Lepisosteus oculatus: one gene and its partner. The protein of the gene in region 1 interacts with the protein of each later gene in a pairwise test. Links are inferred from orthologs where the notes say so. Each region holds a gene or a part of one and is shown on either strand. Other genes may lie near its edges.

Region 1 (3,929 bases):
TGTGTCTTTGTTGGTACTCCCTGAATTTAGTTATGAAAAATGTTTTTAAAACAGTTTTAGCTTGAATGATAAGAATTTCATAATGGATGTCTTAACAATGTTATAATAATTTCCACAAATGACTTTTATCAAACTTCTCTATTAAATACATACAGTAGTTATTGAGGTAATACCACTAAACTGAATTTCCCACTAAAAATTGAAAGATGTTTTACAACAGGTTATCCTAGGAAGTAGAAGAACACTTTGTAACCTTTTCTTTAAAATATTTGTAGAGAAGAAGGCTTGCGAACCAGGGGCAGGCCATTCACCCGTCTTTTTTACAATTTAATCGTGCAGTAAGTAAATAAACTAAAATTTAATGCAGACGTTTTTCTTGTGTATACTGCATCTGTAAAACCTCAGCCTCCCCCCCCATAACCTAGTTATGAAGCCAAGTTGAGTACTGAGTACAAACGTAGGAAAGTAAACGTTAAAAGCAAACCAAAAATCTAAAACTGAAAAAAGCATTTCAACCTAAATACCCCACAGCCTGACAAAACAGAAGTTAACAGATCAATAAAACTTACAACTATCACACAGTCTAGTATTCAGTGGATATCGTTTTCAGATGGTATGTTAGTTAATGTTTTCACAACAATTATGTAGCTATTACAAATAATGTCAAGTTCAAAGGAAAGACATGAACATTGGGTACTATATATTTCACTAACTCGTTAATTAGTATCCTGAAAGATCTGTGCTACTCACACAAGGGGGAAAAAAGTTAATTTCACCATATGATAAAAGTTTTAGGAATGTACTGTATCTCATTTCTTTTAAATACAGAATCGTTTTCTGCTTGTAAATGCCATCCTGCCAACCGCATTTCGATGTCAACTGCTTAAATATATCAGAATAGTACTATTTATAATGCATTTTAAAACGAAACTGGTAGAAAATTACTGCTTTTCCACATTTATAAATAAAAAGTAATACTTGTCATCGATCGTGATGCCAGAAAAACACGTGTACATTTTTTAAACCAACGGACAGTGTTAACTACAGTGTTAACTAGTTACCCCTTAAACCGCCCTCGCTGGTGATTTGTCACTTTGAAGTCAAAATGATGGTTATAGTGACGTTATGTCAAAAGCGATTACTTCAACAGAAAGGCATAGAAGAGAAAATTGGGGGGTTCCGAAATGCTTTAACAAATTCAGTAATTACGCTGTACGAAAATAAGAGGAAAGGCCTTGGTTGGACTTGTTTGTTTATGACTGGTATCGGTATCTGTAAGAGCTATCGATTTCAGCACTGCTGAAATGTTTTTGTCATCCCGGCCATTAGGAGGCGCAAGAACAAATCATTCCGGCAGAAACAGCTGAGCTCCGACCCTCTCTATCTGCACTGTTGCTACATTGCATGCTGGGATGAGTAGTGGCTTACCCTGGCAACGGAAACAGCCGGTTGCACATCATTACTGTATCATAAAATATAGAATACTGTACAGTGAGATCGTTGAATTCATAGAAACAAACATTGCAAATCGTCGAATTTAGAAAAATTGAAAACACGATGCAAACGGAAGACGCACGGTATTTAAAAAGGTAAGATGCAATTCTGCAGGGGCTGTCAGCAAAATAAGCAAGCAAAAATAAACGCTTTTTATTGCGACTGTGTAAGATGGGATAGCTTCATGTCATCTCTTTTTATCAGAAAATGCGCTATAAACTGATACGTGCCCATCGAATATGTATTAAATGCCATTTGCTGGAAAATATTGCAGTTCTGTGTTTGAATCATTTGCCAAGACGAATCCCTGCTATTCATTGTATGTGCTCGTTTGGGTGTGGGCCGTCAGTGTTTTTAGTGTAATTTCTTCTTCAGTTAAAAAAGGAACCTAGATTATTTTCACATAACTGAGGTCATCACGTTATCGTTTGATTCTGCTCCATATTGTGCTGGGAGCAGAACGTGTTTATATTCCAGCACAATAGGAAACAAACATAATATTAAAATAAACATGTTGTTGTCCTCCGGTGCTTTCTAAAGCACCAGTTCAAACCCCATTGTCTCTTTGAGGGACAAGTGTCACTCAACGTCTGGCTAAGCAGCATGTTATTATCATAATCACAATACGTATGATTAAAAAAAAAGAGTTGTAAGCACAGACAATTGACGTTTGCGAGAGAATTATGTCTTGATTTGTTTATACCTTATATCCAAGTTTATATCTTAGAAGACCATACAAATGAGGAAACAATATCATGCATGACTGCTTGCTGTTAATTCAGCTGCCATGATAGCAAATGAGCCAGACAGGAGAAAGTAGAATATCTATGAAATACCTCCAATTTATTTTTCATGTTTTTTTTTTTGTGTACATGATTGAATACCACTTGGTAAATGCTGATATTAAATATGAATTTCACAGTATCTGGTTGCTTTAAAAGACATAACCCCAAACAGTGGTCCTTGTAAAATCGCTATGTAATATATTAGGTAAGTCCTTAGCATCTATTTCCCTTTTTGCTTCCATTGCAGTAGTTAAAGAAGCCGTTGTTTTAATATTTCCCTGAAGCTTAGTGGCGAGCCTGGCCCTTGCATGCATTTCAGTCGTTTTGTGTGTGCCTTTTTCCTCCCCTACAGAAAAGTAAAGGGAGGAAACATTGATGTCCATCCAACTGAGAAAGCCCTTATTGTCCAGTATGAGGTGGAAGCTACTATTTTGGGTGAGATGGGAGACCCCATGCTAGGAGAACGGAAAGAGTGCCAGAAAATGTAAGAAGTGGTGATGTTTTAAATAGGTATATTCTGTAGAGTTGGTGTGCAGCCTAGCTTTCTTAAAATTACATTGGTTCGCATTTTAATGTTCATATTTTATTTCCTTTTTACATTTTTAGAAGTGGCAGTATATATATAAACCTGTTGGAATGGATTTATTGTAAAATAAATCTCCATGGACAGACACTGAAATATTTAAGAATTGCTGTGGATTTGATAGGTGCCAATAAATATATTTCTCTTGGTTTAAGTCCTTGTACGGGGCTTGAAGTTCGCTAAGGCTTACTTGCCACTTTCCCACTAAAACTGAGTTCTCTCAGGAATGTTATTTCTGAATCACCCCTTTTAAATGTTTGAGACTGACAGTTATCACCTAAATTGGACTCAGACCAGGTCAAATGCTTTTTCTTTTTTAGCTTTGGTTCAGATCCATCATCAACGACAATCCATGTTATGACAATCTGAATTGAATTATGTGGATACTTTTCTATTCTGCACTGAAAAAAGAATAAGTAAAATATTTTTAAAACAGGTTTTATTACAATAAATATAATAAAATATTGGATATGTAATAGTAAAGTCTACTGTCTGTATGTACTGATCAATACAAGCTTCAAATAATTTTTTAATCATTATTTTATACAGGCTTCTGTAGAGACAATGCCTTAGTGCTCTTTAGCAATAAATGATTGAGGAGTCTCTGATCAAGTCAATTATGACAAACATGATTTGCGCAATGCTGTTAAGTTTACAGTATAACATTTTACCTGTTTACTTTTAATTGCGACAGCCAGCTGACACACATGATATAAAGTTCTTTTTGCCTTACCTGATCTGCATATAGATTTGATTAAAAAAAAAAACATTGTGAGGAATTCTATTATATTTTGACTGTTAACTATCATTAATGATGGATAGATGTGTGGAAAATAAAACTAGTGGTAGCACAAGAAATGTAAACACTTGCTTGTTAATTTTCATGGGTAAACATCTGATCAGAGATACAGTGCAGAAACAATGTGGAACTGAGCGAAAGAAACTACAAAGTTCTTGTTTTAACATGCCAATGATTGTTGCTTCCCAGTATTCGCCTCAAGAGCCTGAATGCCAATACGGATATAGCTTCTCTAGCACGAAAAGTAGTCGAAGAGTGTAAACTGATC
Region 2 (3,929 bases), about 230 kb from region 1:
GCGACTATCTGAGAGCCAGCCTGCTGCAGCTGCTGGGCCAGAGGGCTCCCTGTGTCCTGGACTGCTGCTCTCACTGCGAAAGAGCCATCCTGGAGCAGGGCATGGACGACACTCTGCCCCAGGTCCTTATCTGCACCAAGAACCACAACCGTTTCCATTGCCTCAGAAAGGAAGAAAATAAAGGGAGTAGCTGTGTTTAAATTTCCTGCTGCAGAAGACAAAAGGTACAGTACACTTAACCTCATTTGGACTTTTTAGTTTTAAATTCTCATGGTGGTGTACATATACATACAAAGACAAAACGTTTCATAGATTTTTGGAACTACTGTAAGGTGAAACAGCTAAAAACAATATTAAGAAAACTTAAACACCTTCATTACTATCATTAGTTGGTAAAGAAAACATGACAAAGACTTACTTTGTAAAATAGGACAATGTAGGTACTGCTGGTAATAAAGACACAGTGTTTACAGTGAATGAGACCAGAAAATACTTTTTTAACTAGGAAACAATAATTAAAACAATAGTGAAGAAGTTAATTGTACATTTACCGATACAAGCCTACTTTTTTACTGAGCAGTCTGAGTCAATATTTATTGTCCATTACCATTACAAGAAAAAAGATTGTCTGCCTCCCTTATCTGTTAATATTTTCATAAATAACCAGATATAATCATTCAACAAATGGAGAGCATACACTAAAGCAATACAAAGATTTGCATTACTGATACTGTATTTGTTTTTTTTTAGTTTTGCCACATACCCGTTGTTCTCTGTTTGTTTTGTCAGTCTGGGAGGTTTCCTGTACAGTTTATGGCTTACCCTTGTGTTTCCACAGTGATTCTATGGAAACCCTAAATGGGGCCAGTATTTCTCCCTTAGCAACAGGCAGCAAGAAATCTGGTGCTACATCTAACACAATGGCTGTGTGGCTGTGAAACTGGCTGGGGAACTGCAGGAATTCCATACTTTTTCTCCTTGGAATCTGATGCCACAGTACTACAGTTCCGTGCACAGTTCCGTGCATTAAGGCAATAACGTGCATTAAGGCATTGTCAATCTCAGGATTTGACTTGTGCTTGATGATGATCAAAATGAGGACAGGTCCTAATGCAACTGTGAGAGAGCATGTCAAGTCAGAGCTTTTAGCCTAACACCTAGACATTTATGGTTAGCTACAAGATTTCTCTTTGGTCAAAACAGGAAACAAAGTATCTGACCATAATCTCCCTGGATCACATTAATATGGTAGCTTTGTGGGGACAGGTGCAATCTATACTACCCAAAGAATTATTAAAAAAAAAAAGGTTCAAATGGAAAATGGTTACTTTAAAGCCTTTATTTTTTAGCTGCCACACGCAAAACTGATGAGAGATTAAAACGTCCTTCCAGTTACACGGGGTGTGTAACAGGTGAAATGAAACAAAAGCTCAGGAACGTTTTGCACATGTGCAACGAAGAGCACATCACTGTTTGTCTGAATTTGCACGAATTTGAGAACGGAAAGTGCGGTAGGCGGTACGAGTCTGCTGGTCTCTAATGGTTTTCCTCCGCGCGTATGCCCCGAGTGTAGAAACATTTCCTGGAACTCTTGCCTCACAGCCCCTGCAAGAGGATGTGCTCCCGCTGTTGTTGTCCGTTATTAGGACTCTGCCACTGACCTGCTGAGGACAAGAGCTTTTATCACAGCCCGGACACCATGTCGCTGTTGGACACCATCCGACAGTGGGATGAAGGAGCGGCCGCAGTGGGCAGAAAGGATTGGGCTACAGCTCTGAAAGTCTTCTCTGATATCGTGGACAAAAACTCCAAAATATACTTCAACATTGGCATCCTTTATTTGATTACTAAAGACCTGGATGCAGCAGAGAAGGTGAGCATACGCTGTACGCTTTTTCTTTTCGATAGTGCAGAAGGCAGGAATCTACCTTGAGGCTGCTGGCAATAAGAGGTTTACTTGCCAGTGGCTGTGTACGTACTGTTTTTGCACGAAACAGAGAGATAATTTTGTACCCATATTCTGTCTCCACTCAATTCAGTTTAGTTTTTCATTTTTTATTATCCCTTACGTATCAAAATCGGTCTCCCACGGAAATTCACAAAATATGTGTTATAAACAGTATTGCCATCACGAATGAAAAGCACAATCTATACTTCTGCAAACGCATTTTTCTTTCAGTCGTTGCTGAAATGCAAGTCATTCAAAATGGGGAAGTAAACCTGCAGGGCAGAAAACAGCAGTCTCACTCGATAACTACTTGTTGCAATTTATCAGTGGAAAGAATCACAATTCTAAAACAATATTTCATATATTTATTGCACATCTGTGCTTGAAAGATTTCCTTAAAACTAGTATCATACAAGCTGTGGTCTGTAAATCTAAACAACCAACAGCAATATTCTTAAGTAATATTTCAAATATTTGAAATACAAACCAGAGACTTTTCTGATTTTTAAAAAAATATTCTAGTTGAGAAACAGTGTACGTTTCATTAATATTCAGACACACCTCTGTTTTTTTTCTGATATTAGAACAAAACAGTTTGAATTATTCAGGGAGAATTTCCTCAGAAATCACAGTTTGTTTTAATTTGGAAGCTTTTATCTTATTTCCGAATTCTCCTGTTTTTCCTTAGGCTTTTGACAACAGCATCAGGAAGGATGAACACTTGGCTGTAGCCTTTTTTCAAAGGGGGATAACATTTTACAAACAGCAAAAGTAAGTCTGCCTGGTGTTGATGCTTTCCTTTAAAAAATTCCTCACATTTACATTACATATAATATGCATTATAAAACCTAGTTTATAAAAACAATCCTCTAGACTGTCTCTTGTTAGAAATACCATCACAAATACCTAGAAAAACTAATAGTTATTGAAGACACTTGTGATACAAGATGCAGACTTGTTTTAAGTGCTGGAATTATAAAGAAATGAGAACCATAGAAACAAAAATCTTTCTTACATTGTATCGTCACAATCGGTTATAATTGCAGATTTAGGAGATGTTTTTTTAAGTTTCCCTTATGAGTTTGCAAACAAATGTCTTTCTCTTTGACTGCATCATTTGTTTCCCTATGACCTCCCCGAGTTAGGTTTGAAGAATCTTTAAGTGATTTTAAAAAAGCCTTCACAGAGCTACGTGGAAATCAGCTGATTGACTACAAGCTGCTTGGCCTCAGATTTAAGCTGTATGGCTGTGAGGTAAGAGTTCAGTGTGGTAAAGGTTTTTTTTTCTTCATTTTCTATTTTGCATTGTATTTTGTGGACCAAAAAAGAGGAAACGGAGTCACTGTCACACCTGGAACTGAGTCTGAATATCACACATCGTTCACTGGTCACATGTTTCCTCATCAGTACTCGATACACCAACGCCTGATTCACAATACATACAGGGAGCAATAGAAGGAAGAAATCCTAAGAATAGCAGCAGTGTCTTATGCTCTCAAGGACATTGACTGTGTTCACCAGACACCTTGTGCACCATGTCCATGGACACAAGAGACAGTCGTGTTAGTCACAGTGAAGCAATGAAAGGTCCTGAGGTTCAAACTGTGATTGTGCTTCCATTGCAATCAAACTTCATATCCTTCATGATACTTGCGTGAAAAGGCCAACTAACTTTAGAAGCACCCTGTGCTTTCTAAGCACAGATTTTTCACCAGAACTATTACTCACACAATAGCTTCTTATCTATCAGTCCCAGAGTGACTTACTTTAATGTGTAGGTAAAAGATCTGTATATTGTAAATACCACCTCAGATACAGGCTGTAAGAGTTTAGGTGAGATGTTCTGCAGTTGTCAGATGTGAGGCTTCTCTCTGTGAATCCCAAACTCAGAAGCTCCCCTGTTTTCTGCGCAGGTCCTTCACAATGTAGCCCTGGCCCATGCACAGTTAGGACAATGGGAAAAGGCAGAGGAGAATCTGCA

What was found.
Region 2: the proteins of kifap3a (region 1) and ncf2 interact in binary tests that used the Homo sapiens proteins (3 or more experiments, as listed by UniProt). The two-hybrid records come from large-scale screens. The link is inferred for Lepisosteus oculatus from reciprocal best matches to the Homo sapiens genes KIFAP3 and NCF2.

The regions. Positions count from the first base shown.
Region 1 is NC_090704.1:8,064,397-8,068,325, forward strand, and holds the start of kifap3a (kinesin-associated protein 3a), read left to right. Parts: upstream 1-1,191; 5' UTR 1,192-1,557; coding exon 1,558-1,589; intron 1,590-2,631; coding exon 2,632-2,763; intron 2,764-3,850; coding exon 3,851-3,929. UniProt on the Homo sapiens protein: Involved in tethering the chromosomes to the spindle pole and in chromosome movement. Binds to the tail domain of the KIF3A/KIF3B heterodimer to form a heterotrimeric KIF3 complex and may regulate the membrane binding of this complex.
Region 2 is NC_090704.1:7,838,268-7,842,196, reverse strand, and holds the start of ncf2 (neutrophil cytosol factor 2), read left to right. Parts: upstream 1-1,518; 5' UTR 1,519-1,699; coding exon 1,700-1,873; intron 1,874-2,636; coding exon 2,637-2,719; intron 2,720-2,963; exon of another isoform or gene 2,964-3,091; intron 3,092-3,093; coding exon 3,094-3,202; intron 3,203-3,861; coding exon 3,862-3,929. Other genes in the region: nmrA-like family domain-containing protein 1, read right to left, coding at 1-158. UniProt on the Homo sapiens protein: Subunit of the phagocyte NADPH oxidase complex that mediates the transfer of electrons from cytosolic NADPH to O2 to produce the superoxide anion (O2(-)).